Linked DNA regions of Arabidopsis thaliana. The protein of the gene in region 1 interacts with the protein of each later gene in a pairwise test. Each region holds a gene or a part of one and is shown in the gene's direction. Other genes may lie near its edges.

Region 1 (7,619 bases):
TTTTAAGCAGAGCAATCAAAAACTAGTTGTACATCTTTCTTCACTATCATTGAAAACTATGTTTTTAATACCAAACATTGAAAACATTCTAGAGAGTACAAATGCCTCTTCATCTTCTATTCTGAATCCAAATATATCAACCCCATAAATCACTTAACTGGCATTTAGCACCATGTATCTTTTCAATGCAACCACTCTTCCAATGCCTATTCGAAGGAGAGAACTTTCATGTTTGTAGTACTTTTTTTTTTTTTTTGATTCGTAAAAGTACTTTGAGTAGGTCTTCCTTTGTTTAGTGTTGTGATGAACATGTAGAGGAATCAAAGTTTTTGATGAAAACGGTTCTATCTTATATGGGCATATCCCGGAACATTAGTTTGATAAAACAAAAGAAAGTGAAAAGGCAATGATACTTTCTCATTGGTTGTATAGAGAGAAAGGACAGAAAAACACATTAACTGTGTTCTACTTCCTTTGCTTACTCTCACTTTTCACAATTCAATCTTTAGATTTTTTCTATCTGAACCGTTTGGACCAGATATGGCTACTTCTTAGTAATGGTCTCTTTCTCTCACAGTTCACACGTCTGCCATGGCTTCCAGTGATGTTCTTCCTCGATTCTAATAGATTTATTGGTATCCGCATTCATGCGTGAAGGGCAAGGAAGGATCGTGCTATTTGATCATCTGACTCGACCGAATATGTTAACGCATGTTGTGTTTGTATTTTGGTGTTTTGTGTTTATCTTTTTTGCTTGAAGATAGAATCATTTGATTTATCCAATATAGAACATACACTTTCAGCTAAGCCATATATTCATACATAATTTTTGTCGATCGATTACCAATATTAGTTAATGGGGATGTTGAACCAAGCTTTTTATCCGGTCCACCAAAGTCATGTCCGTATGAATTCCTATCTGCCAAAAGTCCATTATCACTATTGGCGGGTTAATTAAGCTCGTGACCAGTGTCGACCCTGAATTTTATAAGACCACATACATGAGGAAAAAATGGGCCGCTACATCAAATTTTGAATAATTTTATTATTCTGTTGGAAAACAAAAGAGATCTCTTAAGCCATACTGAAGTTTCGAACTCGAAGATGATACATCTTCACGAAACTACTAGACAATCGTATATTTTGCAAAAAGACCAAATTTTTGTGATAAGCTCTCTCTGTATAGAGCTAGGATTTTCCGATCGCCGTTCAAACGAATCTATATATCCAATAGGTGTTGATGAATTTGGGAAATACATACTTCATGAACAGCATAAATGCATAATTCAATATTTGGTTCATACAACCTCTATTGTTTAATAATTTCTTTGTTGTTCAAAGTTTCCTCCCCAACTGCAAAATCGCAAAAGAGAACCTTAGTTATCTTGTAACATCCAAATACACAGAATCTTGAAACCAAAATTGATAAACAGACTTTAAGATGAATCCAATTTGACCTAATCCAGATCGAGATCGAGACTACAAAAGCACAACTGAAAATTTTGAAGAACGGTTTGAAATTAGAAGATGATCAAAGTAACCTTTAAGCTCGACCAATAAAAAATAATTACCAATCTTTTATCTCTCTTCCTGGACACGGATCCATACGTAGTTGTCACTAAATCTTCGCTGATCGGGATAAAGAAACAAACCTTCAACTAAGGGTTTGAGACCAAGAAGATCTTCTGAAGTTGCAAATGGATTAGCCGCATGGTTATTGTAAATCACATTAGTCTCATCGCGATTGAGTCAGTGAGTATTAGATGCTTGAAACGCGAGGTTTGTTTCGTGCACCGCCGAAGAATTTCTAATGTTCATACAACCCCAAACGCAGGCGCCACCACATAAATGTATTACTTATCCCACATTTGTATTTAAATCCCAAAAAATTATATTTGAAGTTACTGTCTTTTCTTTGTCTGTTCTAACCTTTCATCTTGCTAGTTATCATTAAAAAACTACTATAAACTTTTAACGCTAAAGATGTATCATGGTGATATTATTAGTTTAATTTTGGAATAAATTTTGGTGAAAGTTAGAATTAGATTGTTAATTTTCACCTCAACTTTATGTTATTTTGACCCCTAATTTTGTCTAGATTTGTTGATATTGCATCTGGACAACTTTTGCTCTATCGGCAAGATTTTGTTGTGGGATATGATTCGTGAAACCTCTTGAGTAAAATAGTGGAACTTATAGAGGAAATGTATAGATAAGAAAATTGAATTATAGAGTAATAATATTTTTTCTTAAATTTTGTGGAGGACTAAATAAATCACTCTAATATATTCAACCAGTTAAATTAGTTGTATTTATTAACATTAAATTTAACAAGTTGATACTGTAAAATTAGTTTATAATCTTGTATTGATCAAATTGTCTCACTTGTATCTTCCTATAATCTCACAGTAAAATTTTATAATTAGTCAAATTTTGATACTAATATTTATGTAAAAAATAATTATTATTTTTATATTTCATTTAATATTTTGATAAAATAATAAATATGCAATGTCCAGCAATACTAATTTATTGAGGTTTTATTGTGTGTCATGGAGTTATTTTTTTCATGGATACATTTCGAAGAAATATAACTATGATAAGCATTACTTCAATTTACACAACTAGTGAGTTTTAAACAGATTTAGGGAATCAGCCAATATGGTTCAAAAACCTTTTTTGTAAAGATTTACATACATAATAAAGTTCAATTTGCAGGAAAAAAGCATTACTTGAAGATAATAAAAATTTTAGCGCTCTAATGAATTCAAACGACCTTCTCTTATACAAAAAAATCATAAAACTCATTTAAAAAACATAGAGTCGAGCTTGTCTTGTAGCGCAAACTACGCTTGAGAACTATGTGGTACCTCTTTAGTTTTTTTTTTTAATCGTGATTTGCTAAATCTATTAACCAATCCAGTCATATTGTTAAAAACTATTGTGGAAGAAAGAGCAAAAGAGAGTAGGTGAAATCATTGGGCCAAAGAGGGATGCTCGATCGGGTTCTCCTTCAATTCCTTAGTTGATTCAAATTTTATTTTACAATCCATTAATAAATTAATTCACATATACCTTAACCCCAACCTTGACAACAAAAAAATCTTAAATTAAAATTTAAAAGATAAATCAACATTTCGTTGAGCTCATAGTATGTGAACTTTTCTAGTCATTATGGTTTGTCCTAAAACAGTATGTGAACTTTTCTAGTCTTTTCATATCGCTGAGAGCTAAGTCATGTTTCTTATTCTTAAAACAATAGTCTCTACTCTCTCATAGTAATGTTGGTCTTGTCATAGAGGTTTTGATGTATAGTTACATGATTATTTGGTTGGGCTTAATTTCATTTTATAACCGTTGCATAAATATCATTCTACTTTTTTTCTGTATTGGCGGTAATTCCTTCTTGAATATATTCCTCTAAAAAAAAATCAACTCGTCATTCTCGAATATTTTTAATTTATTTATATAAGAAAATAATAAAGGATAAAAAGAAGGATTCTGGTGGATAGTTGGAACTTAGCCCATACAATATTACGTTGCATGGTTTACTCTATTTAGTAGTTACGTGAACCGTACGTTAGAGATTGAAATCAAATTGGTTTGGTTCAGAATTGGGTTTTGTTGGAACGATATCGGTTTGCTGTGGTACATAGTCGAAACTAGTTTAGGTGGATGATGAGGTTTCGATATTTCCTTTTTTATTTGAGATTCGATATTACCTTATTCATATGAGATTCAATATTTCCTTATTTATATGAGATTCAATATTTTCTTATTTTTATGAGATTCGTTCCTTATTTATACGAGATTGAGAGATTATGGCTTTCACTTGTCAATTATCTTTCTCCACGCAAAAACAAAAACCGTCGCTGTGGTGAAATAGATAAAATCAGAATGGTGAAAAAAGGAGGTACGAAGAGGAAGATTGCGATTGAGACGATACAGAAGAGCGATTACCTTAGGGTTACTTGCACCAAACGTCGTGAAGGTCTCTTTAGCAAAGCTTCTCAGCTTTGTCTTCTCTCCGATGCACAGATCGCTATCTTAGCGACTCCTCCTACTTCTGAATCCAACATCTCCTTCTACTCTTTCGGTCACTCCTCCGTTGATGCCGTTGTCTCTTCTTTCCTCTCCGGGCAACGTTGTGTTCCTCTTCAGGAGGATACCAAAGAGATGAGAGAGGACGTTGCTATTTGCTTGTCTCGTACAAATCTAGGGTTAGGGTTTTGGTGGAACAACGAGAGCCTCAACAAATCGGAGAATCCTCAAGAGATTAGTGACGCTATCAACTCTATGTTAACGCTCTTGAGTAATCTCAAGGAATTGAGTGGGGAGGAAGCTTTAGTTAACGATCACAAGGACTTGAAGAAGAATGAGAGGAGCGATGTTGTTTTACAACACGGAACTCAATATGAAACCCTAAATCCTAACTCCAACACTACTACAATTTGTTGCGTCCCTGATGAATTACCTGCCAATTCCAACGAGATTGTTGGAATCTCACCAAATCCTTTGATTATGCTAGAAAAGAAGAAATCACAAATTGAAGAAAAGTTTGAGAAGGAATGGCAAGTTTCAGTTACTCGAATTGAAAATGAAGCCACGAGTTCTTATGCAAAACGAAGAAGAAGTATATGACCTGGATTAATTGAATTAGGAAAAAGAGCATTCTTATGCAATAAGGACATTTACAATTATGCTTTAGTTAAATTAGTCTTTCCTAGAAGAATTATGTTAAGCATTACTTTGTTATATGCTCTCGTGTATATGCTCTCTCACGAGAGCAAGAAGCAAAACTTCTATTTATTTCTTTTGAACACAATTTGGAGTTCTTACACCAACTGCAGCCGTAGTTTTTTTTAGTAGAAACTCATATAATTAAAAAAAAAAAAAAAAAAAAAAAAAGAAAAGAAAGAGATGAGAGAGAATCTCTGAAATTTCTAACTTTAGAATCGTTTCTATAATTCTTATACGTTAGTATTTTTGTTTTTTGGATATAAAAGTAAAATATTAATACTTTTTGGTTTTTAGACACTATATAAATCCTATACGTTGGAGGTGCTTTAGTTTCTTACCACAAATCCCAACGTGATGTCGTTTTACAACATAGAACTCAAGAGTCAAGATCAGTGGCGGACCACGTTGGTCTTGGGTGGGGCATGTGCCCTACACTGAATTCTATAAATCCTTTCTCAGTTAAAATTCAGTATAAGCAGCATGGCTCCAATAGAGTGCACCAAGTTTCATTTTCCATATAGTAGTCGATCGTTGGCTCCAACCTTACCAAACAAACAATGAACCAAGAATATATATGTTTTAAACATTGGCACAGAGCGAACTCATCTATCTTTTGACATGAATTCTTTGAGAGATTCAGATTTTTGAACTTGGAGTGACTACAAAGAGATTGCACCATATATACTTGTATAGTTGTATACACCACAACATTAGGGAAGTATCCATTAGTTAGCACCCATATATATACTTGTATAGTTGTATACACCACATCATTTTTGCCTTAATTAATTACTAACAATTCAGAAATACCAAAAATATCTAAGGATAACTCTCACATTCATCGAATTATTTTAAATGAAAAAGTTTCAAGCTTATGATTTTGTCAACAATATATTGCGGTTCGATCATCGATTATACTAACACAGACCATACTTAGTGTATATTCGATATGCTTATAATTAGTTGCAAACATGAAAATTAGATTTTATGTTTATCATCAACATAATACCAAATTTGAATTTGGACGGTAAACTACTACGACAATAATAACCCAACCAATAGACTATAAAGTTACAGATTAGTTAAATACATAAACTCGATTAACTAACACGGAGAATCACATATTTTCATGTCCTAAATTTTCTCTCAATCACACTTCACCACTACAATAATATTTCAGTCCTGTCTACCAAAAAAATAATAATATTTCAGTCCTCGCTCAACACTCATTATCTCTAGTAGCTATGTTTATAGTTTTGGACTGGAAGAAACTACTCGTCTCGGCCACCGAACATTCCCATCAGGTCTTTACCTGAACCCATCTGCTTCATGAGACTCTGCAGACCACTCATGCCGCCAATCTGCTTTAGCATCTGAGCCGGTAGGACCTTACTCAATTGCTGCGAGTTCTTGTTTTTTGAGAGTGCGCTCATATTTCCTTTCTCTAGGTTCTTAAGCCCTTTCACCTTCCCCCACATAGTTGTTAACCTTTTGTACTCTTCCAACATCTCCATCACTTCTCTTACAATCCTCCCTGACCCTCTTGCTATCCGCATTATCCTTGACTCGTTAAACACCTTTGGATTTGAGCTGTCCAGTTCTGCACAACCACCAATCAGTTATTGCTCAAAACTACTATTACTTTTACAGAGAAACTTTCTCCAAAGAAGATATTGCTCTCACCTTCATTAGTCATAGAGTCCATCATTGTCATGTATCGCTTTATCTTCGCCTGGCTTTCTTTCTCATGTCCCTCTGGCATCATTTCAGCACGCATTCCAGGTAGCATGGAGAAAACCTACAAACCAACACCGTATTTTCATATTTTTGTCTTATCAGCATCACGTTGTGCTCTTTAGCTTACTAATATTTGACCAGAGATTCTGACCTCCTTAAGTGGGCCCATGTTCAGCATGTTCTGGAACTGGTCGTACATAATTCTCAATGTAAATTTACCATGAGAGAGCATTTCCAGAAGTTCAGGCTGTTGATCTTTAGGTACCACCTCTTGTAGTTTATTCACGAATCCAGACATATCACCATTTCCTATTGTACATATACATTATCAAGATTCTGAGTCAACTCCTCACAATCAGTCAATGCCATGATATTTACCTAAGAGACGGCTGACAAACGGTTTAGCATCAAAAACTTCAAACTCATCCATATGCTCTCCTGTTCCAATGAATATGACAGGACTTTTTGTAGCTGCAACACTAACAAGATGGAAAATAGATGAGATCCACTTGCCCAATTGGAAAAGCTTGCATGATTTTCATATCACCATTTCGAGTACATGACAACTCAGCAGCTACAAGATACTTACGCGCTAAGAGTCCCACCACCCTTGGCATGACCATCCATCTTAGTAATAATTACAGCTCCCACAGCAACAGTTTGTTTAAATGCTCGAGCTTGTTCAAACGCAGTTTGACCAATACTGCTATCCATAACAAATATAACAAGATCTGGTTTCTGTAAAGTGAAAAGGCAGCAATTAGCGCCTCCAACATAATTAAGGAACAAGAACAGAAGACTTTAAGATAAGAGAGTAAAACCGTTGCTTCAGAAATTTGACGCATTTCTTCAAAGAGAGAAGCTTGTTGTTTATGGCGACCACTGGTGTCAACAATAATAAGATCACAATTTTCTTTCTTGAACCTATCAACTCCCTCAACAGCAATTTTCACAGGATCGGATCCTGTGTAACTGCAAAGAATCACAAATCAGTATTAGCACATTCTGCTATCACAGTATGCCCTGGCTAATGGTTTCAATCCATAAGAGTTTTTTATTTTATATATATTTCGTCATGTTATTGACATTGAAGTAAAACCAAATTGACAAATTGCAAAATAGAAACAGAAGATAACACAAGA
Region 2 (8,820 bases), on another chromosome or scaffold:
TTGCAACTACGTGTGGATGTCACTTTCTATTCAACCAAAACTCACAATATTATATGATCTAGTTTTGTCGTATTACTGATTTGTATTATAAAATGTTATTTAATTTGAATTCTACGTAGATATTGCTCATGCATGATAGTATGTATCTAAACTATTCAAATAACTAACTACGTGGATATTTTATAATCCAAGTAAAAAGCAGAAAGTGGGTAACTACGTCAGTATGACTATACTTTTATCGGAATTGCTTGACATCCAAACTTTTGCTATGCTTCACCAACCAATGCAGTTTCACTTAATTATTAACTATTGACTATGTCTTATTAAGTTAGCACTAATTCGTTAATCATTCAAAACGTTATTTGATTGAATTACATATTACACTCTCTTTCTGCATCACCACTCACACCATATGCAACTATAACCAACTCATCACATTCAAATGTATTAATTGGATTTTGGTGCGAGATTAAAAATTGAAAGGAAACAAAATATGATAATGGGATAAAATCTTGAACGGAAACTCAAACTAATCCTCATAAGGTATAACAAAATAACAATTTAAGCTAAGCACAACAACATACAAGTTCGACCTTTTCCTTTGATGATCCAGCCCAACAGTTCTCTTATATCTCAAACCATTCGACCATTTGAGCCAAACTAGCTAAACCTGCAGGAATCAAAACCAACAAAGATTCAGATTAGCTAAACCGGTTTCATCCCTTTGTCACATGACTCACATCCGTCTTCTACATAACGATTTCTAATGATGTGAGCTCTTAACTTGCTCCAGCAAGATCATCAACTTTGGAGCACCTTCAATGATTTAGTTAACATGTTAGATAAATTAAATATTCTTGTTTCAATATATATCAACTTTAGTGTAAAAGCCTTAACATTCTCTTGAATATTTAATTTATTTCTCCTTATTTCGATTTAATGACAAATGTGAATTAATTTTTGTGATATTTTTGTTCGAAATTAGTTTTCAGTTAATAACATACATGTGAGCATGGGACACACATGATTTAACAAAAGGGAATGACGAAATGATATATCAAAATATTAGTATGGGAACAAATTACGAGGTGAAACTTCACACTCAACTCAATTAAAACTAGAATAAAGAAATGGAAAAAGTGAAAGAATGAGAGGTCAAATGTGGTTAATCATTATGTGGTATTAGTTAATCCATCAATTGTGTACCCAAAAGCATGATTAAGCATAGAATTTAGAGAAACAAAACATCATTATTAATGTTGAAACACAAAGATCCCATCAACAGACAAATGATAAGTACAGTGCATGTAGGGTAACAACTTTTATGTACATGTTATATACTTATATTATATAATAAGAAAACGATTAAAGTGTCATTGCTCCAGCCTCTATTTGTAAATCATATTATATCAGTATGCTTAATTCCAATAATTAAGTCCATAACTAAAATATATACACATATATGTATGTTAAATGGTTGAATATATACATATATTTTCATAAACAAATATTGCTAATTAATTCAGTTATTTGTGTACATAATCCAACTATCACCTTTTTAGCTGGAAGTGGATATTCCAACATGTCAGTCTGTCACTCCCACATTCATACTCTCTATTCTTTTTAGCTATTTCAATATCTACGGTTAAATATTAATGGCTATATAGCCTTACCCTTCATTTTAGTTTTTTTTTGGTATTCGCATAACCATCGAATACTCAAACTTACTATGTAAGATGGTCTGAATAACTATTTCCGATTTAAGATGAATAGCTAGATTGAAATATACATGCACTAATTGGACATGCACTAAAGGCAGAGGTGAATTAAATGATGAAATGAAGATGAAGTGTCACACTTGTGCAAAAAGCATGTCCCCTGCTCTTCTCCGCTTGTTTCAATTTCTTTGACTTTCATCACGTTTTTGTCACTTAAATACACCAAAAAATATAGTACAATTAAACATCGAAAATCGTCCAAAAAGAAGAAAAAAAATCATGGAAAGTTCTTTCGTTAATGTTACACACATTATCTTGATTAGGTGACACCAGATATTAGAATAAAAATGATAGATTATGAAAAGAAAAAAAAAATTGATGTATTTTTAGGATACATCGAAAGGAATGAACATACCAAAAACATGGGAAAAAATAGATAACTAATTAACATGGTAGAATGTAGATGACGTAGATCATGAAACGAGTGTGTGATATATTAATGAAAATTATTTTAATATACGTAGCTATATTAGAAAATAATTTACATTTATTTTCTTCTAAACAAATCTATACTTTATATTTACATACATTAGTAAAGACCAAAACACATGGAATTCAAATTCTGCAATAAGTAATTGCAAGAAAACACAAAGATTAATCCCCCACTAAACCCGTTTATTTACGTTAGTATTTTTCCGTTTTATACATTACACATGACATGACATTACACGTCAAAAGAAATATGTCTTACGTCAGAACTTACGTATGATCAAACTCGATTTAAACATAGAAACATCTGTTTACTAAATTATACTAATTTCATAAAGACACTTTAATGCATGAACTTCTTTGTTTAAATAACAATTTCCCCCTTTTGGGGGCTATGTCTCGTCGAGTCCTACCACCATTATAAATTATCTCATCGTTTGCTTTCTTTTTTTTAAGTTGTAACCATTTCCACTCGTAATCATACAACTTCTCTACTCTTCTAGAGCAAAAACCCAAAAATATATTGCTATCTTCGTTAATGGCTGATAATAAGGTCAATCTTTCGATTAATGGACAATCAAAAGTGCCTCCAGGTTTCAGATTCCATCCCACCGAAGAAGAACTTCTCCATTACTATCTCCGTAAGAAAGTTAACTCTCAAAAGATCGATCTTGATGTCATTCGTGAAGTTGATCTAAACAAGCTTGAGCCTTGGGATATTCAAGGTTAAACCCTAAATATGAAAAAAAACTCTTTCATTTCTACGAACTCTCTATTTCTTTGTTCTTTATTTTTGAACCATTTTGGTATGCAAATGCAGAGGAATGTAGAATCGGTTCAACGCCACAAAACGACTGGTACTTCTTCAGCCACAAGGACAAGAAGTATCCAACCGGGACCAGGACGAACCGGGCAACAGTCGCTGGATTCTGGAAAGCTACCGGACGTGACAAAATCATCTGCAGTTGTGTCCGGAGAATTGGACTGAGGAAGACACTCGTGTTCTACAAAGGAAGAGCTCCTCACGGTCAGAAATCCGACTGGATCATGCATGAGTATCGCCTCGACGATACTCCAATGTCTAATGTAAGTATATATAGCAATCATCAATTTGCAGTTTAGGTTAGAATAAACAAATTACAAACTTATAGTCAAAGAATTAGCTAGATTCGTTTCATGCTATAAAAGGTTTTGGTTCATTTAGTACGCACTAGAGCCTTCTTTTAGCATCTGCAATTAAAGTAATCGAACATGATTCTCTGAGTTACAATAAGATAATTTCTTATGAAATTAACACATCATATATACATTTATATAAAAAGATTTTTTCACAAGGCTTAAAATAGTTTAACACGGCTCTACAAACAATACGTAGTTAACTAGTTATGGTTGCATATCCAAAAGAAAAACCAACATAAAAGATTTTTTTTTTTGTTTCAAAATAAAAGTTGCATTTTTACATCATCAAGATTTAATCATCTCTTATTGCATTTCATAAGATCGATTTGTGTTCCATTATCAGGGCTATGCTGATGTTGTTACAGAAGATCCAATGAGCTATAACGAAGAAGGTTGGGTGGTATGTCGAGTGTTCAGGAAGAAGAACTATCAAAAGATTGACGATTGTCCTAAAATCACTCTATCTTCTTTACCTGATGACACGGAGGAAGAGAAGGGGCCCACCTTTCACAACACTCAAAACGTTACCGGTTTAGACCATGTTCTTCTCTACATGGACCGTACCGGTTCTAACATTTGCATGCCCGAGAGCCAAACAACGACTCAACATCAAGATGATGTCTTATTCATGCAACTCCCAAGTCTTGAGACACCTAAATCCGAGAGCCCGGTCGACCAAAGTTTCCTGACTCCAAGCAAACTCGATTTCTCTCCCGTTCAAGAGAAGATAACCGAAAGACCGGTTTGCAGCAACTGGGCTAGTCTTGACCGGCTCGTAGCTTGGCAATTGAACAATGGTCATCATAATCCGTGTCATCGTAAGAGTTTTGATGAAGAAGAAGAAAATGGTGATACTATGATGCAGCGATGGGATCTTCATTGGAATAATGATGATAATGTTGATCTTTGGAGTAGTTTCACTGAGTCTTCTTCGTCTTTAGACCCACTTCTTCATTTATCTGTATGATTATCTATACATACACATACACAAAATATAAAATAAAGTTTGTTAAAAAATGTCTCATGTTCTATTGATAGTACGTCTTGATTTTGGGGTTTAACATTTGTTAATGGTGGAGGGTAATTTTTTTATAATATTTATAATCATAAAATTTACGAAGTTAAAGAATGATATTATATACAAAACTTGAATAACGACTCTTTCAATTGCTTACTAAGCTATTTTAGAAGTCATTACATTTAGTTCTTTATCTTTGACTATTAAAGCTAAAAGATGTCCAAAAAAAAAAAAAGCTAAATGGTAGAACTTTTCACATCCCTCATCTTTCATTCTACATTTCTTACATGCCCACTATTGAATTTGAATCCAAATTATGATACGAAGATTGCCATATTTGTACAACCACGAGAATATATGTTTATCGCTTAAATCTTTTGTATTTGCGAATCATAAAGCCCATAGGCCATAGTGAGAGTTAATATTCGGTAAATTTGTACTTTGGTTCAAACGCACATGGTGAATCCGTATTTTATAAAAAACTTTCTAAATTAATAATGAGTTAATGACAGAACTATGATGTATATGTTAATTTATAGTAATATTATTTTTTCTATAAATTTCAAATCTCAAATTTTTTAATTGTATTATCATTTAATATTTTATCTTAAAACTAATTTGAAAAATATGAGTAGAGAAAATTGATCTTAAAAAAGTTTACTGGTTTGGATATTATAAATTTTATAGTTCCAACTTGAACATTTTGATATTTAAAATAAAAATCTTTTGATGGTGAATTAGAAAGTCTATACTCTATAGAATTCACTTATGCAAAAGATATATATATATATATATATATATTAAATTAAAAATAAAAATCTTTTGATGGTGAATTAGAAAGATATATATAGTCTATTGAAATGAAATGATACATATTCGAAATTAAAATTAAAGATTCTTAGATTAAAATAAAAAACTGAAAGAAGTTTTGGCTATTTTGATGACGAAGTTATAGACGATACTAGTTAATACTATATTTTGAAAACACAACAAAAATAGAGATGAAATCTAACGTCAACTTTTATTTATTTATTAAACAGCTAAAACTAATACATTAATATATTTTGAAAAATTATTACTATTTTATACATCTGAATTTTTTTATTTTACAATATTCCTATTCCAGGAATGTTTTATAATATTTCTTAATTTTGTGAATATTAATTTATATGTTTTACTGTATAAAAAACTAGCATATAACACGGCTATTTTTATTAGTTTATCTGGATAAAGTATCATTGTCATTTTGATGAAGGACTTGTATAATGAATGAAGTGATACTTATTTTGACTTTCATCTAAGTAAAGTGTACCAAATAATAACGCAGCGTAATAAGATTCTCGCTTCGCTATAATTACTTCACCTTTTGGTGCAACTATGTTATTTTTTCATTTTCGTTGGAAAATCCTCATGTCGTTTTTCTTGTGCAAATACGACAATCCAATTACCACTTATCAAATTACGTAACCAATAGTTTTTTTTTGTTTTTCTTTTAATTTTCTGACTAATATTACTAAAAAAATAGTGATGTTATCGAGAAAAGTGTAGAAGTAAGCATATTGGAACACACAAAAATGTCTGAATATAGTTAATTATACGGATCAAGAATCTCGTTAAACGCAAGATAATGGATCCAACTTGGCTCGATTAATGAATTGGAACAATGTCACTAATGAAAGAGGCTACAAGACACGATTCAGTTAAATGCAGTATGACAGTGCATTGTCTTCAAATTGTATATACGGAGACTTGCATTGGGAGATTGAACATTAGCTTGATACTTCAGCATGTCGATGGAAAACATAGCCATCAACATTTTAGCAATCGAAGTCCGAGTGAGCTGATTAAATTTGAAAAGGGCATGGGACATTATATTGTAGGTGGTAAAGCAACCATATACTTCAACCTTAAGTTGTTTCTTATTTTTGCTTGATAAAAATAACAAACCATATATACATCATTTCCCTTCCAATACACTAACAAAGTAACAAAAATAATTAAGATGCTTAAAAAATAAATATTATTACAGGAATTATAACATTCTTATGAATTTTAATTCCTTCTTTTTTGAAAGAGAAATTTGTCTAAAAGATTTGAAAGAGAAACCTAAAAATTTCCATTCAAGATAATTTAAGGGAAACAAAAATTATGAACAAAATTTTACCTAAATTAATATTAATCTATTTTTAAATATTTGTTTTAAATTTCTCAAATATTTTCAGAAAATATATTATTTTCCCAACTAACTTGTAATTTTCAGTAACTACAAATTAAGGAACCCGTTTATACATTCACTGTGAAAAATGTCGTTGAATTTCCCTACAATTACTATTTTTTACAACAAAATAAATTGAGGGTCATAATTCTGTCTATGATCCGAAATTATTGATTCTGGAAAATAATTTGAAACAAACAGATGGTAAGTCATAATCTCACAAACTTTTGTCTATATTGACTCTTTTTTCCAAAATAAAAGAGTTGTTAAATAGTTTTCAAACGTTTTGACAAAAAAATAAAATAATAGTTTTCAAACTTTCTGATTAGGACTAACATTAGCCTATCTATGAAAGCAATCTCAAATTTGGGTTATGCCGACAGATATTCATCACACAGCCTCTTGACAAATATTCGACCACATATCTTCGACTTTATACATTATAACCTGTATAAATTAACATTGTCAGACACAAACAATTTTATGCTCTAATTTGATAATTGTTGTTAAAACCTATGTTTTATTGCCTTTTAAAAATATTTGAAAAATAAAATTGTTGGCTAGTGATTTACATTTGAAATGTGTATTTTTTTTCTATGGGTATAACCGTATAGCATAGCCTACAGGGAAGAGATCGATTCTTTTCAAGAGTCTGATTTTTTTTTTTTTTTTACTTCGTACGTTGACCACCCATAAACATCTTTAACGGCAAAAAAATAATACACGGAATCTATGGGCCATGAGGATTAATTTGGGTTTTGGCCTAAGATTCAAAATTGTTACCAGAAAAAAATATATTAAGTAGTCATAATTTACAACTTACACGGACTAAATAAATTATATCAAACAAAAACCATAAAATTGACATAATGTATATTAATCACTAATGTTCTTTTACTTCAAATAAATGATGTAAAGATTTTTAAAGGCATATCAAATCACTTAGCTATCGCTTTTTTTATCCCTTACAGAAATGACATTAGTATCCACAAGTGATGAATAATTGAAATCACTTTTGTATGTTCATCCTTGGTCAATTTCAAGCAGACTTGTGCGTTCGGAACAAGGTTTCTATGCAAAAGGCTCAAAATGGAGTTCAATACTTCAATTAGTCTCCTGATCTGGTTTTCACATCAATACTCAACTAATTCGTCTTGATTTTGTAGGAGCTAAAATTAGCAAACATTACGTAAAGGCAATTGAAATCAAAATCACAAACATTAAGGAAAGAACATGAGATGAGACGAGTTGATGAACTCTTCCCTTAACCTTTTAAATCACCCGTAGTGTGACAGTTTCTGTGTGATTTAAGGATCTCAGGATACAACCTCTATAAACTGATTTTGCATCACTCGAAACTCAACTCTAACGAAAATAGTTACTACGATACTCTCGAGACTTACTTTTAACAGAAAGAGATTGTTGGAGCTTTTGCTATTGCTATTTGTGTGTAACTATCAAAGACTTCACTGTGTCTCTCCAAGACTTGAAGCATGACCTATTTATATAGGCTTGAAATACTTAGGTTTTTAATTTGTTTCTTCACAAAATCAAGCAGAAATCTAGGAGGTGGATGACGTGAAGGAATAACCACTCTCTCCATGAATCCTATTCTCAAGGAATCGAGAAATATAAGAGACCAAATCTTTCGGTGACTCGTTTTCTCCTTTCAAATCGGACCCATCATATACCGGAGATTTATCGTGAGCAGGCCAAACCATTATGGTCCATTTCTTATTCATACAACTTGATAATACTAAACCTAATTGGGTTTTAGTAAAAAATCAGCCCAACAGATTTATCCTAGGAGGTTAACCTTGGTTTTTAAACTAAAATGGACATTTTGTATGTAAAAACATCGGGTGGATTGATTTACTAACTAATATTTTTTATAAGAAAAATATTTTATATATAGTCAAAATAAAATATTATTAGTATCTATTGAATGAATATCCACCAATGTTAAGTAAGAAACAAATCTTAAGTCAAAATAAAATATTGTTAGTATATATATGGAAGATCCATATCAATGATAAGAAAAATGAATGTCAACCTTGTTTTTTGGTTACATTCAAAGAACCTAATTGTACTATAAATTGAGCTTTAATTAAAATCTAGAAAATCACAGTTTCATTTTCTTTTAATATACTTTTATACTTGATACAACGAGCAAAGACAAAATTAAATGGGTATTACAAAGA
Region 3 (7,578 bases), about 10 Mb from region 1:
ACCAAATGCTGGAATATGTTGAGAAAATTGCTAATGGGCTTGCTGATGACCCGGTAACTAAATCTGTCAAATCTTTAATTTCAACTTTGCTAAGAACCTTTAGTACTAACATTAAGAAGGCATTTCTTTGTGTTCTTTCAAGCCAAGGCCTCTCATTATGTGGAACCCTCGTCTTATAAGCGAGGAAGTCGGGGTTGGGTTTAACGTGAGAAAACTAAGGCGTTACTTCCTAAGGTAAAAGGCAAAATCCTTAATGAGACTTGACAAGGTTTTTGACGTAACATCAATAACTGTTCTTTTCATTTTGGCTCTTCTAGTTCATTCACTACGGTTTACTCTATGAGACCTCTGGCTGCTGGTGCTGTTTTCAGGTGTTATCCTGGGTAAGACTCAGACTTGGTTTTTCTTATTTGATTAAGTCCATGTAGATACGGTTTAACGAGTACAAGCTGATCATTTTCTATCCTCATTTATTTTTCTAGTAAGTGGAAAGTCTTCTATGATAACAAAGACAGACCAGGCCGATACCTACTCGCTAAAGAACTCATTGGTCGACCTGATGCAGAGGATCTTGAGGTCAATTGAGTACTAGATTTAATTGAGTTGAAAAATTCTTATATCATGAAAAAAATTGGGTGCAAATCCTAGTTCCATAGCTTGTTTTGCTGCAATTTCATTGATGAAATGTTTTCTTTTTGCAGATAATATATGGGGGAGTAGAAGAGAAATCAGAAGAAGGGCCATCTTTAATGAGTCAAGCTGCTGGAATTTTCTCATCCATTAACAGGTTCATGAAATCAATGTGAAGATGATTTCTTCTCTGCAGTGTAATACTATTCACATGTCCTGGTATTAGAAATGTAACCAAAGGGTATTACTGTATATCTTTCTATGCTATTACATCATGAAGAGTATAATACGTACTGGTAAAGAGTTCTGTTCCTTCTATACTTCAGTGAACCACTCTGGTCGAGAAAATTAATCCGAATCAACCCAAAAGTCAGTTTTGTACCTAAACTGCAGTCTGCAGATACTATGTACTAGTTCTATCATCATAACATGAAAATATCGAAGTTTTGCAACTTGTTCTGTTTGCGATTGACACTTTGTCTATCCTAAGCTGGAAATGCTACCTAGAGTTCTTGAGAGCCTTCAGAATCTAAAATGACTCGTCATAGTGGTGGTGATGACTTGCACGACCCAAGAGTTTAACATAAGAAACGTTTTGTTTCTTTCTTATGTGTTATACATGTTTTTATGGTGTGTGTGTGTTTTTATAACAGGATTTGGATATGACCACAGAAAGGGAGGAACTAAAACTTTCATCATCCGTGCCTCTGTTTGATGTCATCACTCAGAGTTTGCAGATATAAAGAAGCAGCTTCCGTGAAGTTCAAAGCTAAAATGAAAGTGGCAAGGTACACTGTAGAGAACTCAGTGGTTATCAGGAAATTAACTTGTTCTGCATTTGAGTATTTCCATGCTAGAACAAGGGTATCTACAAGGTTTCATAAATCATTGGTTTGCCAATTATAAGAGAGATGACAAATGGAGACTAGATTATTTCATCTAGCTTTGAACTAATATTGTTTTGGATTCTAGAAAACGCAAAACTCGAACTGAACTAAAAGCAAATGTCTTTTTTTCTAGACCTACCATCAAAACGCAACACACAAATCCAGAAACACCAACACACAACATCAAGCGTATGTGTAAAAACAAAGAATTTGGTTCTGCAATGAAATCCAAAACAGAGCCTTTGATGGGGAAAAATTCAATCTTTGAATCGAAAAGAGTTGTTCTTCCAAAAACAAATTAAGCTTCAGTAAGCATCAACATCACAGAGTTTTACATAAAAATCTCATAAAGAAACATATACTACTACTACCTACTCTAGTTCTGTTTGACTCAACAGTTTACATATATTTTTGGTTTTGTATTAAGTATTAACTATATAAAATTCATGAATAATGAATCAGGAAAAAAGATGAATACATTGCTTCTCTATACATTATTACCTATCAATGGTTTTCTCCTTGTTAGTCTTCACAGTAGATTCACCTAATATGATTCACATGAGCAAATGGATCCGTATATTTTTTTGAAGCAGCTTTCTTGGTGGTCTTAGGTGGTTCTCCAAAAACATTCCAAAGCCTGAGAGTCTCGTCACCGGCTGCAGAAGCCACGGTACAACCATCCGGACTCTGTGCCATAAAAAGAACTCTTGATGTATGACCATTGAGTTCAGCCATTTTCACCATAGATGGGTACTTCCAAAGTGTAAGCTGGTTCTGTGTAAACCCATGTGAGCTAAGCAACTCTCTTTCACTTTTGCTCCATAACAATGAACAAACTTGAGAGCCAGTTTCTACTGAATTCAAGCAAGCCCCAGTGTGTGTATTCCAGAACTTAATCTTCCCATCACCTACACCACCACCAGTTGCAAGCAAACTCGCTTGGAAAGGGCACCAAGCAAGAGCTCTCACTGCAGCTGTATGTTCCTCAAACCTATGCAGCCATTGCCTAGTTGGGTTTGAGGAAGCGACAGAACGATGATCCCAAATGTGTACTACATTGTCGTTACCACCACTTGCTAGTTTTTTTCCAGATTCTGACCACTTAAGACCACAAACCTCTTCTGTGTGACCCAAGTAAGTTTCAACAATAGATGATCTGATCCTCACATCATTGTTGACGATCTTTCCATCCATTCCTCCAGTTGTTAGAATGTGATTGTTCCATGCCAATGATCCTACTCTTGACTCGTGACCACCTCTCAGTGTTCTCACTTGACGATTGGAAACACAATCCCAAAGCTGGACTTCACTGTTGTCAAGACCAATTGCCAGATCAAGACCATCTTGCGTCCAGTTAATACTTGTGACAGGTCCCTCCTCTTCATCAATGGTCACAAGCTTATATGTAGAACCACTAGACGCATCCCACAAGTAAACAGTGTCTCCCAAAGCAATGGCTAAGACATTAGAACTGCCCCAATCCAACAAGTTAAGGTAGAAGTCATCCGCAATTCCAGGTGCATCCAAGACTCTCTCACTATTCTGAGGAATGTATCTACGAGGCTTTACGGATATAGGTTGTTGGTGAGGAGGATCAGAGTGATTACTAGAAAGCAGAGCTTTAGGTTTGTTTCTGAAAGCGAGAATCCGAGTGCGATTCTGATTCATAGCCTCAGCCAATTGCGTCATGTAGGCTTTTCTTGATGCTGAAGTTACCTCATCGACATTACGTTTTCTTCCTTGGGTAAGAGCGTAGTTAGCAAAGTCGAAATCCATGGCCGATCTATTCGGTATGAATCTGTCGAAGTTTTCCTTGGAAAGTTTCCGACGGAGAAAGTGTTCTACAAGTGGACACGAAGCTTGTGCCTTTAAATGTGAAGAAGTGTTCATCATAACTGTGATTAGAAGAAGACTAAACGAAATATGACAAAGAGACAAATAAAACCTGCGAAGAAGGAAACGTAAAGTAGATTCAAAGCAGAGAGACAGAGAGCGAATAGCGAATAGTGAAGGAAGATTGTGGCAATTTTAGGGTTTTTTGCTTTCTTTAATTCATTACATAGAAATTGTCAATTACGTACAACGGTTAGATATTAGTAAAATGGAAATCGGATCTAATTCAGATTTCCGTTAAAAATAAATAAAAGATTTTCATTACAGTTACTGAAGAAAAATGAAATAAATATGGAAATCGAATTTAACAAATTCAATATAAACCCTAATCCCAATTCTCTGACTTTATTTTCTCTTTGCAAGAAACTAAAGCTTCTTTCTTTCACCGTGTAAACAACAACAATGGATTCTTCAATGTCGACGAAGAAGAAAACCAAATTGTCTGTGAGAAACCAAACTTGTTTCAAGAAATCGTCTCTTTCTTCTTCTTCTACTGCAAAAAAGACCACGAATTTGTCTATGAGAGAAGAGACCATGTTTAAGAAAGCCTTGGAGCTTTCAACTCTGTGCGACATCGAAGTCTGTGTCATATATTATGGTCGTGACGGAGAACTCATCAAGACATGGCCGGAAGATCAATCCAAGGTTCGAGACATGGCTGAGAGGTTTAGCAAACTACACGAGAGAGAGCGACGCAAGAAAAGAACAAACCTTTCTCTGTTTCTACGTAAAAAGATCCTCGACGACAATAAATTGTCGGAGAAAGTCTTAGAGATGAAGGATTCGCTAGAAAGTGGTCTACGGGTATTACAAGATAAGCTTCTGTTACTCCAACCCGAGAACCAGACCGAGCTAGGTCAGAGCCGTGCGGTTTCTTCCACAACGAATCCATTGTCTTCTCCTGAGGATCATCATCATCAACAATGGACAGAACCATTGGTGACTGGTGTGTCAAACACAGAGCAAGACCTATCGACGTCACCATTGAGTAACCATCAGAGCAAATATTCAGTCTTTGTCTATAACCATGACAGCGGAAGCTTCTATCAAGTCCCTGACTCGATCTGTTTCTAGTTTAGATTATGAGTTTTAATTGTCTGATTAAGAGTTTGTGTTGAATTGTATGTTTTTCCTAAGTATTATCATTATGAATGCTATTCTCAATTCAATTTTTGTCTGAGTCAATTAGTTGGCTTTGTTGGATTTAGAAGCCAATGGTGAATTTCCAGATTACAATGCCTTGTGATTTTCCGATTAAAATTCTTCCAAGCCCTAACAATGGAGATTTGTTCAAGAGATCTCCTAACTCTCCTCTATGGTTTGTTACACACACATCAATACATGCATAACTTGTGCAATAACCTTCTATCTATTTATATACAACTCACTAGACTCTCAAGCTAGTGGTTAAACAATCTGTTTCTTCTTGCTCTGTTTTCACGTGCCTTCTCTGCTTCTCTTTGCTTATTCACGAGCCTCAACGAATCCGTTTGAGCTACCACACGTGCCTCCTAGCTTATCATAGGTCTTTTGATTCATGTTTGTACAAGCTTAAGTAAAGTGTATCCGGAGGATTGACATATACAATAGACATTGAATGTTAGATATCCATAACTTATGCAGATAATGCAGATAATACAACTAATTGAGCTTGCCTCTGTGAAATCTTTGGTTTAATTTGGTGAGTGGGTTCAATCGAGGAAATATTTTTTGAAAGAAAAGCGATTATGCAATGAAATCGAAAACTGTAGTGCAAGACAAGAGGATATGATATGCAAATTACATGACACTTTGATATTCAGATGCTCTTGTTGCAACTTCCGACAGAAGGTGTTGTTAAAACTAGTGTTTTGTCCAATGGTTTGATTCCCATGGCTTGATTTAGACGCCAATGCATTCCCATTTTACAATGCCTTAGTGAGTTTTGTTGTTAGGTTACTAGATTCCTCTAGGGATTCATGCTTGTACCAGCTCAGATCAAGCAATGAGAGTGACCAGTCTTGTGTCATGCTGTAGTAAAATTGTGGATAAGCGTAAACTTAACTACTTAAGCATCTTGGATCTAAGTGTCATGTGAAGGGTTATTTTTAGAGGGGATTCCCCTAAGTCTTTATGTTAGACACTTGAGTACTTAAGAGTCCATCATGTTTTGATGTGTGACTTCGGGTCAGTTTTTTTTACTTGTCTCAAGTTCATGCATTTAGAAAATAATGTATATGCCAGTGATGAAGCTATACAGTTGCTTATCTCGTTTTGCCCGGTTCTTGAAGATTTGAGCATTGCAAGAAGGCTAGATGATAATCTTGATGAGGATTTACAAGTGCACTCATTCTCAGACGACATTCACCAAACTCAGTGTAGACGACATTCAAATGGAAGCTGGTGCTCTTGTTTTTCAGCATCAAGGCAGAGTTTTTTATTGATGCCCCTATCCTAAAATATCTGAATTTCAAAGATGTTATATAACAGAGAATAAAATTAATTAAAAGAAATTTTCACATAAGTGGATGAAACAAGAATTGCCCCTCATGGTTTGTCAAAGTGAGATATGGTTTTCATCGTTTGTCTTTTCAGTTGCTTTCAGACCAAAATATCCTTAATGGGAGCAACCAAACCACAAAACACTTGATTTCGGTTTAATTTATGTGGTTCAGTTTTGAATAAAAAAAAAAAAAAAAAACTGAAACAAAGAAATCGAAGAAGAAGAAAAAGAGAAAGAGACGGAGAAATTCGAGAGAGAAGTAGAAAGAAGTTCAAAATTCATTATCCACTCCTTCATATTTTGACATCTCTCTATTGAACTCCAAAATTGAGGAACAAATTTCTTATTTTCAGAGATAAACAAAATGCAAAAAAAAAGCTCATAGATTCAAACACTTTAGCTTTTTAAACTAAAGATACTCTAGGTTTACAAGATTTATTTATAAATAATAATCAAAACGTAAAAAAATGAGATTTTGAGAAAACTGATAAAGACGGCCGCAAAATTAGGTTTGCAGAAAAGGATACACAGGTTGAAGATGACTGGAAAATTACAATTATACCCTTCATCGAATTTTTTCTGTGTACGTATATTTAATTTACAGTGTACGTACACAAAATTATTTATTAGAACGTATATGGGACGATTTCTAATAACTCAAACTATTTTATTACGTATTCTTATATCTCAATAATCTCAATACATACATAATAATTAAATAAAAATAGATGGTGAAATAATGTACGTACATTTTTGTTGGTAAATTAATGTATGTACATGTGTAATAATATACGTACATCTTTGTTTGTACATTAAATTATTAAGAAAAATTTATTGATACAATATTAAACCAATATTGGCAGTGGCTGAGATAAGACATTGTTTGTTGTATGATTTTTCTGTTCTTAAAAATACTTCCCAATCTATAGTGTACGTACATTGGTACAAACCATGTTGACACATACTTCTTGGAGTCACAACTGATGTACGGTCACCCGAGTGAGAAATGTTATCTCCGTCAGGTACACGCTGACTTGTGTACGTACACTCTGCCAACAGACGACTGAATTCCCCTGGTGTGAGAATGACGTTCTCCTCAACATTCCCTATTCCATATTCTTCTACAATTACATCGTTCCACTTGTTGTAATCATAATCTTCGCCACTACTTTCACTACCATCAATAGTAGGATCGAGGGTACTTCCCCCCATAGATCCATCGTCACCCTGATAATCATCATACCCATCACCATCTTCGTTATCCCCATCCTTTTCATCCTCATCTGTTTTATCGTCTTCAACGTCGTCTTGCTCATATACGGCCTCATTATTTTCATCAACATTTGAAACACGGTCACTTTCAGCATCGTCACCATGAGTCCTAGAGACATTATTCTTGAGTGTCTTGACGGTTGTAATAAAAGAGACAAACAAGTTGAGAGAAGGATACCTACCACGAATCATAAAGAACGTATTCAACCCCACTTGACTGTCAATGTAGACAGGAGGGCGTTTAGTATCTATCATCACTAACATCTCTCCCGGCATCCAGTAACTAATTATGGGATTGATCTCTGTGGACTTCAAACTGAAAGCCTCGCTTAGTGTACGTACAAATTCCGTGTACGTCATGTTTTCCTTAACACGTACACAGCGACCAAACATGTCTTCCTTTAGTTTAAATTT
Region 4 (8,514 bases), 1.5 Mb from region 1:
TGAAGATTTCATATCGAAAGCGATGTGTCAAAGTATCATATTCAACACCGATGAGAGAAAAAAAACAAATTTTCATAATGTGGAAAGTTTCAATATAATTTTATTGACCAAGATGTCAAATTTTATATAAAAACAAAAAAATTCAAACTCGTAAGTTTCTATTTAACAAAACTTTAATAATGAACATGAAAGAATTAAACAAATAGAAAGATTGCAAAAATCTGAACATTATAACTTTCAATTTTGGCTCGCCAGAACAATATGGCTTAAATAGAAGAAAACATAACGATTAAAAATAATAAAGTTAAAAGGAAAAATTTGGAAAAAAGGAGAAAAAGAGAAGGGGACGTGTGAGGATGCGTTACACCTATGTATCTATTTTATGTGGTCAAAGCTATCTTACTCTTTAGATTTTGGGTCCCACGTGCATGCTTCATATTTTGCCTACGTCCCTTCTTTTAATTTTCTTTACCTAATGTTGTCCTACAAAGTTTTAGTCTGTTTAATTCTCGTTTTTACGTTTAGGGAAAAGGAATTACTATCATGATCAAAATTATAGAGCTTTTTCGGTTTTACCATTAAAAATAAAACAACTATCTGAACTAGTTCTACAACTAATGTTATTGACTTAAACATGTCCAAAAAAAAATTATGTGAACTAGGCAAAAATATACTTCAGAATATTTAACGAGTACAGATGTTATATATTTCTTCCGTATTATTATAAATGATGTTTTTTTTTTTTTTTTTTTTTGCTCTGTTCTGAATGATGTACTGTATTAGCTAAATTTCTAATGTGTTTACTAATTAGTCTTATATAGTCATTTAAAATGTATATGATATACCACATGTATATAACAAGTACATTTTGGAAGATAAGATGGACATTTTAGAAATTTTGATTGCCACATCGATCATATTCCTTCAAAATGTTTGATACCATATGGAATTCCCTCCTTTAAAGACTTGAAAACTATCTCACTTCTTTTTCCTAATAATCACTGTTATATATGCACCATTTATCAATTAGTCCCAAGTAAAGATGTTTGAGATCTTGCACAATGTTGGTATAGAGTTTACTAGAAGTTTAGAATCATGAAAAGTTTCTTAATCGATACTAAACACATCATCAAACATATTTTTACTGTCTCTAATTCATAGACGTTTTTCATCGAAATTGAATCGTAAGATTGATGATGACACAGTGGCAACACCATTATTAGATTAATAGTTTTTGTGGTAGACTATTCATTCAATAATTCATTAGTTGATATAAATTTTCTTAATGGTTCCAATTTGTGATAAATTAGCAAAATGTTCTGAATTCTACTTTGTCACTAAAATTCGTATCAGAAAAACCGGTTTGACCGTCCGTTGTTCAGGAACTTAGGATTGACTTCTAGTAGTCTCTGTTTGCTTTCGGCTAGTTTCGAGCTTGGTGGACTTTCATCTTCAAATCTATCACTTTCTCTAATTCTTAGGTCTTAATCATAGAATAACTGAATTTTCCCCAAATAAAGGAGCAAGAAAAATGCAATTTCAATGCATGTAGAGTTTTCTTTTCATCAAAAATAAAATAAGGGAGTTTAAATCCGTACCATCTATATCACATAAAACTCATAGCGACTTTTAACAACTCAAGATATATTTTTTCTTAAAAAAAAGCAAGCAAGTTAGTAATTAATAGAATAAATTTGGTAAAGCCTACTCAACTTTCGAAACCATAATATGAAAATCTTTAAATTTATTTTTGGATTTTAAACGGCTTTCAACAAATTGATCAAGATGAGTTCAAAGACAGTTTATCAAAACAGATTAGCTGCAAGAGATAGTCTTTTGCAGAATGCTTCATAAAGTTTGTAACGGATTAGCAGCAAGAGATAGTCTTTTGCAGATTGCTTCATAAAGTTTGTAACAGGTTGGTATGAAGATGTTATTATGTTCTAAATCATGCATCTATGTTAATTTAGACCAGTTTTGTTTTTGGCTTAACTGTCTTTAACTCTTTAATATATGTACATGCATAGAGTTTGTGTTTTGTGTTTAAGTTATATGTATGTAAACTAGCTTTTAATTTGACACATTTTCTCTATCAAATGTACATGGTTTATGTTTATTGAGCAACAAAAAGTCTTTTACATCTTCAAGTTATTTAAATGTTCCTATTTAATATATCAGAAATGTAACATCACATATTTCCGAGAAAAAAACGATTCTAAATTACACTATTTATGAACTAGAGAGAGTAAAATTTAAAATTAAAATGGCTACTTAATTAAAATACAATCATAATTTTTTTTATTTAAAAAGCAAGTATATCATATCTTGGTTTACAATAACATAATTTCAAATCTCATTGCCATCCAAACAGAAAAATAATTTTTTTACTAGTCCAAAAAATTAGGAACAGATGTAGTAAGCTTTGATATCCCTAAACCCAAGTAAAAACCCCAACAAAAAGATATTAGTAGAAGATTGTTTTTACAACAAATCAAAAATATAGTTTTCAAAAAAAAAAAAAAAAAAAGATACTTGAGAAGCGCGTGGAAAGTACGAATAGCAAGCAGTGGTGGAAGAGCGAGTGAGGGAACAAAGAGTACAGAAAAAAGCCTAGAGACGTACCACACCACCGAATTATAAATGGCGGCAAATCCTAGGTTGCTCGCCACGTTACTTCTAGCTGTAAAATGGTAACATTTCAATTTAACTACCATATTTATATTGATTCAAAGATATTTTCGTCCTAAAATCATTTTAATATCTAAAATTAAATACATAACTTCCTCAGTCACATATTCATCTTCCCTAAATTAACATTATTCGATTATCTAACATGGAAAAATGTATATTGTATAATACAACGTATTCAACTTTGACAAAATCGCATTTATTTTATTTCCCTAACAGTTAAAAAATCGCATTTATTTTATTACCCTCAACATTCGTACGTGACAAGTTGAAAAATTGCATTCAAATAGACGAAGTTACCCTCAACAATCATCATTAATTACTTAATGTCGGTCAAAGCTAGTGGAGTGATAAAAAATTTGTTGAGAAGTAGTAAGTAAATTTGTTTTTATTATTAGTATCAAATAAACTAAAAAGGTAAAAAAAAATTTAAAAAAACCGGGACCGGGTATCTTGGGGGTCACGTGACATGAATCGCGAAATTCGAGACTAGAAGCCACGCGCTGACTCAGCACATACAGGAAGGAGCCAAATATCTAATATCGCCACGTGTCACCATGCGACTTGCGCTCATGAATGCGGCGTCCCGTATTTTTAAACAACTCTCTTATACCCGAAACTACCCTTGGAGTTTTGTAGTTAATTACGGAAAAATGCCACTGATGGAGGAGCGGAAAGAAACAGCTTCGACAAGGAAAGAAATCAAATGATATTAAATATTATATATTATATAGTTTTCGAATTTATTGTTTACTTTTGTAAAAATGAATAAAATAATTATGGCTAAAACCCCGAAGAGATCCTATAAATTAGCATTTCAAGAGTGAGCTAGAGAAGGTCTCCACTTGCGAATCGCTAAAAAAAATCACTGTTTCATAACACGTTTTTCTCTCTCACCCACCAAAAAAAAATCTTTTGTTCTTGTTACCAAAAAATCTCGTGATAAATCTCTTCAAACTTTGTTTTATTTTCTTCTTGATTCTCTCGAAATCTCTCTCAACAAACCCAGAAACTTTCCTTGATTCGCAAGCTTTTCTTCCTTTTATATTCTTCATTTTGATGCGAATATAGAGAGAGTCCATAAAAGAAACAGTAATGGACGAATATATTGATTTCCGACCATTGAAGTACACAGAGCACAAGACTTCAATGACTAAATACACCAAAAAGTCATCGGAAAAACTTTCCGGTGGTAAGTCATTGAAAAAGGTTAGTATTTGTTATACTGATCCTGACGCAACAGATTCATCAAGTGACGAAGACGAAGAAGATTTCTTGTTTCCTCGCCGGAGAGTCAAAAGATTCGTTAACGAGATCACTGTTGAGCCTAGCTGTAACAACGTCGTCACCGGAGTTTCGATGAAAGATAGAAAGAGACTCTCTTCTTCCTCCGATGAAACTCAATCTCCGGCGTCGAGTCGTCAACGTCCTAATAACAAAGTTTCAGTCTCCGGTCAGATAAAGAAGTTCCGTGGTGTTAGACAACGGCCATGGGGGAAATGGGCGGCGGAGATTAGAGATCCGGAGCAACGTCGGAGGATTTGGCTCGGGACTTTTGAGACGGCGGAGGAAGCTGCCGTGGTTTATGATAACGCCGCTATAAGACTCCGTGGACCGGACGCTTTAACTAATTTCTCCATACCGCCTCAAGAAGAGGAAGAAGAAGAAGAACCGGAACCGGTTATTGAGGAGAAACCGGTTATTATGACGACGCCAACACCAACAACATCGAGTTCTGAATCAACTGAAGAAGATTTACAACATCTCTCATCTCCTACTTCGGTTCTCAATCACCGGTCAGAAGAGATTCAACAAGTACAACAACCGTTTAAATCAGCTAAACCCGAACCGGGGGTTTCAAATGCACCATGGTGGCATACCGGGTTTAATACCGGTTTAGGTGAATCAGACGATTCATTTCCTTTGGATACTCCGTTTCTTGACAACTATTTCAATGAATCACCACCAGAGATGTCAATATTTGACCAACCAATGGATCAAATTTTCTGTGAAAATGATGATATCTTCAATGATATGTTGTTCTTGGGTGGTGAAACTATGAACATTGAAGATGAGTTAACAAGTTCTAGTATCAAAGATATGGGTTCAACGTTTAGTGATTTTGATGATTCATTGATATCAGATCTATTAGTTGCTTAATATGATGATGAGAGTGAAGAAGAAACCATCAAGCAAATATCTATGGTGTGACTGAAAAATTTTGGTGTTACTTTTTTTTCTTTCATAAGTTCATGAGCTTTTTTGTTTCTTTTTTAATAATTTATTTAGTTTTGTCAGGAGCTTGTAAAACAGTTTTGGAGAAATAGTGGAAAAATAGTTTAATTATTCTGTATTCTTTATTTATTTAAGTAATTGCGTTATTAGTTGCACGAACGTGTTTAATTTTCAAAGCATTTGGCATTTATTTATTTTTTGTTAATTAATTATTTAATTTTAGAAAAGCCAAAGTGGCATTCTCTTTGTAAAGTCATACTATGAGGCGCAAATTACGGTCGTGGCCAGTGAACTGAGAGGTTTTGGCCTTTGGGTTTGGTCTGGTTGAGAAGAGGTGTTTTGTCTTGTAATAGTCATGTTAATCTTAAATTTTGTCAGTAATATAAACTTCAAAATAAAATGTAAATTAATTAATTGTACAGAACACAAAATTATATCATTTATTATTCCGAAAATTACTATCAAATCCTAAATTCGAACATTATCAGAAATTCATGTTTATGATGGAAATGTTTTGGAAAGAGTTCCAAACACATCACAAACTTTTTGTAACCATTTTCGAATATCATTCAAGAACTCTTTCTAAAGACAAGTGTGTGGCAATGTTCTAGAATTCGAACATGTTGGTGGTAGGTGTTTTTTTTAGATGGATTTTTGGGATCCATATGACATTTTATTCATGATGGTCGTTTTTGTAAGTGAAACTTGAGTGTGTTAGATCTTAATAAACTAAATAAGAACATTCTGACCACTGGGAAGAAAATTAAACTTTGTTTTCAGGTTTTCAAAGGCTAATGCATTTTGTCATTCGTGAGACACACACCTCGTTCGGTGAAAAATATATATAGTTTCGCAAGTTTTTTTGTCTAATTTAATTGTTGATCGTTAGGGATGCGATAAATATATATTGCTTTCGGAAAATTTACTTTGACTAAAATTAGTTTTACCTAACAACTGATGGATAAATTTAAAATGAAAACCTTAACACAAAAGTAAAAGAATAATGAAAAATAAACCTTGGCAGGGAGGAATAATAATGAAACCTTTGCAGATTTGTTTTCGTTTCTTTAAACTTTTGCTAAGCTTTTATTAAAAGCTCTTGTAATTGTTTTTGTATCGAATGTAACTATATAGATTTCATTTGAATCCAAGTCACCGACTCATCGCCTTGTTTTACTAAACGTCTTTCAACTAAGGGAAATATGATCTATAACTTATTTTCTTCTTTAAAAGCTTTCTTTAAAAAAAAATATTCTCTGTTATACAAAGATTGCATGATAGCTTTTGCTATCGTTCGATTGTGATTCTATATCACTGAAATTAATTAAATTAATTAATCTAAAATTCAATATGTTTCCATATTTATGGTAAATTGATTCACAGGGTAGTATCTTACCTAGTTGTAAGTTCGTTGTGAGAAGGTCCTTAAAAGGAAGAAGTGGACGTACATACAAAAAAACACAGATATCAATCATTAAATTGTCCTATTGGTAATTTGAGAGAAAACTATTCTTGGTAAGAGATGTTATTGGTGTGCAGAGTACGGATCAAATACGATTAGGATTTAAGAAATTTATAAAGTAAATATATAAAGATGGTTCGTTCTCCAACTCAAATCAAAATTGTCCAGGTGAGAAAATCTCTCTCAAAATTAAATCTATATTCTTCATCAATCTGCATTTTTCCAACAATATAAATTGTAAACCATTGAAGCATCACGAATAACATCAAATCCGTCTTACATAAACACATTTATTATTTGAGTTTTTTTTTTTTTTTTTTCATTTAAACTTTAAGACTGTAGTCGAAGACTATTTTGTAATCTGTTGGTAGACCAGAATGATGTTAGGCTCATAGACTAGCTATATCTAACAGCATTTCTAAAATTAGTTGCAACCAACATAGCATTATGTCTTACTGTAGAAAAACACAAAGAATATACTGTATCAATTATCAACGTAACTGATATTTGTAACTCTCTTTTGTCTCACGTCCATCTTCCAATCTCTTTTGGTCTGAACTATCTTCGACTAAGATTTTGGACGTCGCTTTTTTCTTCATACGAGTTGTGTTATTGCCTTTTTGCCGGTTGGTATATTTCTTAATACTAATAATTAATAACTAATGGAAAGTATAGAATTCATTTGAAAATTCGGTCAATGTCGGAGAAAAGTAGGTGACAAATGACATAATTCAAACAAATAATTTACGTGGAAATAAGTTAAGCACACACATAGACCTTAAATTCCATATCACATTTAATACGATCGACATTTGTATTTTATTTTTCTCATACAAGATACGTATAGTCCTATATATAATCTAATACTGATAAATGTGGCCTTCGCTTTTGTGACGTGAAAGGACATTGTCCCAAGAGGGTTTCAATAAGGTTACCACTTGGTCTGTTATGGCCGAGACAGAGACATACGTACGCCTCATTTGGTTTCCAATAATAGTTATCATATTGTTCTTTTATTTGATGACATAAACATATAGAAGTATATCTTTGCTGCGTTTATTTTATTCAAAAACATAATTACACTATTTTTTAGTTTTATTTTATATCTCTTTAGGACAAATATATTCGAGTTCACCGCTCCATCCGTAAAGCTTTTATTTCGAATGATCACACCATCATTACTCACATGAAATGTATATTATATAGATTTACATAATCTGCCGTTGATTATAAAATCTATTGTCCCTTTTTTCTGTTCTGTTGGTCGTGTGTTAGATTAGATAGATAACACATTATTAACATGGTGATCGTAAATCTCGATATTAAATAGTTTGTATTTTGGCCATAAAATTAAGTTAGCAAGAAGAATTTATAACTTTTATTAAAATACATTCCATTTTATTCTTAAGTCATCAACTAATTAGTGATTACCATGATACTTGGGTAAGAATTAGTTCAAGTATTCATTTCTTATATATATATATTTTTTTTATATGCATTGTTCATACAAAACTTTCAAAACTCTTGACCGATTTGGTATGTCATATACTTGTTCGGTTCAGTTCTTGGTCCATGGATTTTCCGAAAAATTTGTAAGTTTTTCTACTAATGTGTTGAACATTTTTATGATATATTTTCTTAATATTTCACTTATCATATATATAACTTGGATTAAATATTCTAAAAGGACTGTGAGAAACAAAAAAAAAAAAACTGTGTACTAGGTAAATTTAAAATTAACTACAAGGCTAGTATCCATATATTTACCAAAAGAAAAATGTTTGAAATTATACTAGGTAACAGTCATGATTATTTCCATTAATCTTGAATTAAAACTAACATATCCATAATCGAGTGATTATGGCTGTGCTTCAGTGCTTGTGTTTGTCATTCATAAAATATATAAATCCAACATGCATGCATAATTTATTTGTATGTATGATGCATGCTTCATAAGGATATCTTAAATTAGTGATAATTCATGTATATTATTATAACATGGAAGCTAAAGATCATGATGTCTCTACTCACGTGAGTCCGTGATCGTTACATTCAATTTGTTTTTCTTTTTCGTACTATTTTCAATATGTATATACATATACACTTCTCCTTTTTGGAGTATCGAAAAA

Evidence for each region.
Region 2: the proteins of AGL83 (region 1) and NAC012 interact in a two-hybrid assay, tested with the Arabidopsis thaliana proteins (one large-scale study listed by BioGRID).
Region 3: the proteins of AGL83 (region 1) and AGL89 interact in a two-hybrid assay, tested with the Arabidopsis thaliana proteins (one large-scale study listed by BioGRID).
Region 4: the proteins of AGL83 (region 1) and CRF3 interact in a two-hybrid assay, tested with the Arabidopsis thaliana proteins (one large-scale study listed by BioGRID).

What each region holds. Positions count from the first base shown.
Region 1 is NC_003076.8:20,071,545-20,079,163, forward strand, and holds AGL83 (AGAMOUS-like 83), read left to right. Parts: upstream 1-3,783; coding exon 3,784-4,641; downstream 4,642-7,619. Other genes in the region: AT5G49500 (Signal recognition particle, SRP54 subunit protein), read right to left, coding at 6,012-6,340, 6,424-6,538, 6,629-6,786, 6,856-6,956, 7,067-7,215, 7,299-7,449.
Region 2 is NC_003070.9:11,860,876-11,869,695, reverse strand, and holds NAC012 (NAC domain containing protein 12), read left to right. Parts: upstream 1-2,541; 5' UTR 2,542-2,745; coding exon 2,746-2,932; intron 2,933-3,027; coding exon 3,028-3,293; intron 3,294-3,729; coding exon 3,730-4,353; 3' UTR 4,354-4,467; downstream 4,468-8,820. Other genes in the region: AT1G32763 (Cysteine-rich protein), read left to right, coding at 8,805-8,820. UniProt on the Arabidopsis thaliana protein: Transcriptional activator of genes involved in biosynthesis of secondary walls. Together with NST1, required for the secondary cell wall thickening and lignification of sclerenchymatous fibers and secondary xylem vessels (tracheary elements).
Region 3 is NC_003076.8:9,732,839-9,740,416, forward strand, and holds AGL89 (AGAMOUS-like 89), read left to right. Parts: upstream 1-3,686; 5' UTR 3,687-3,812; coding exon 3,813-4,484; downstream 4,485-7,578. Other genes in the region: AT5G27560 (DUF1995 domain protein, putative (DUF1995)), read left to right, coding at 1-53, 143-234, 318-383, 483-576, 702-806; CDC20.5 (cell division cycle 20.2, cofactor of APC complex-like protein), read right to left, coding at 2,058-3,410.
Region 4 is NC_003076.8:21,614,295-21,622,808, reverse strand, and holds CRF3 (cytokinin response factor 3), read left to right. Parts: upstream 1-3,527; 5' UTR 3,528-3,783; coding exon 3,784-4,848; 3' UTR 4,849-5,095; downstream 5,096-8,514.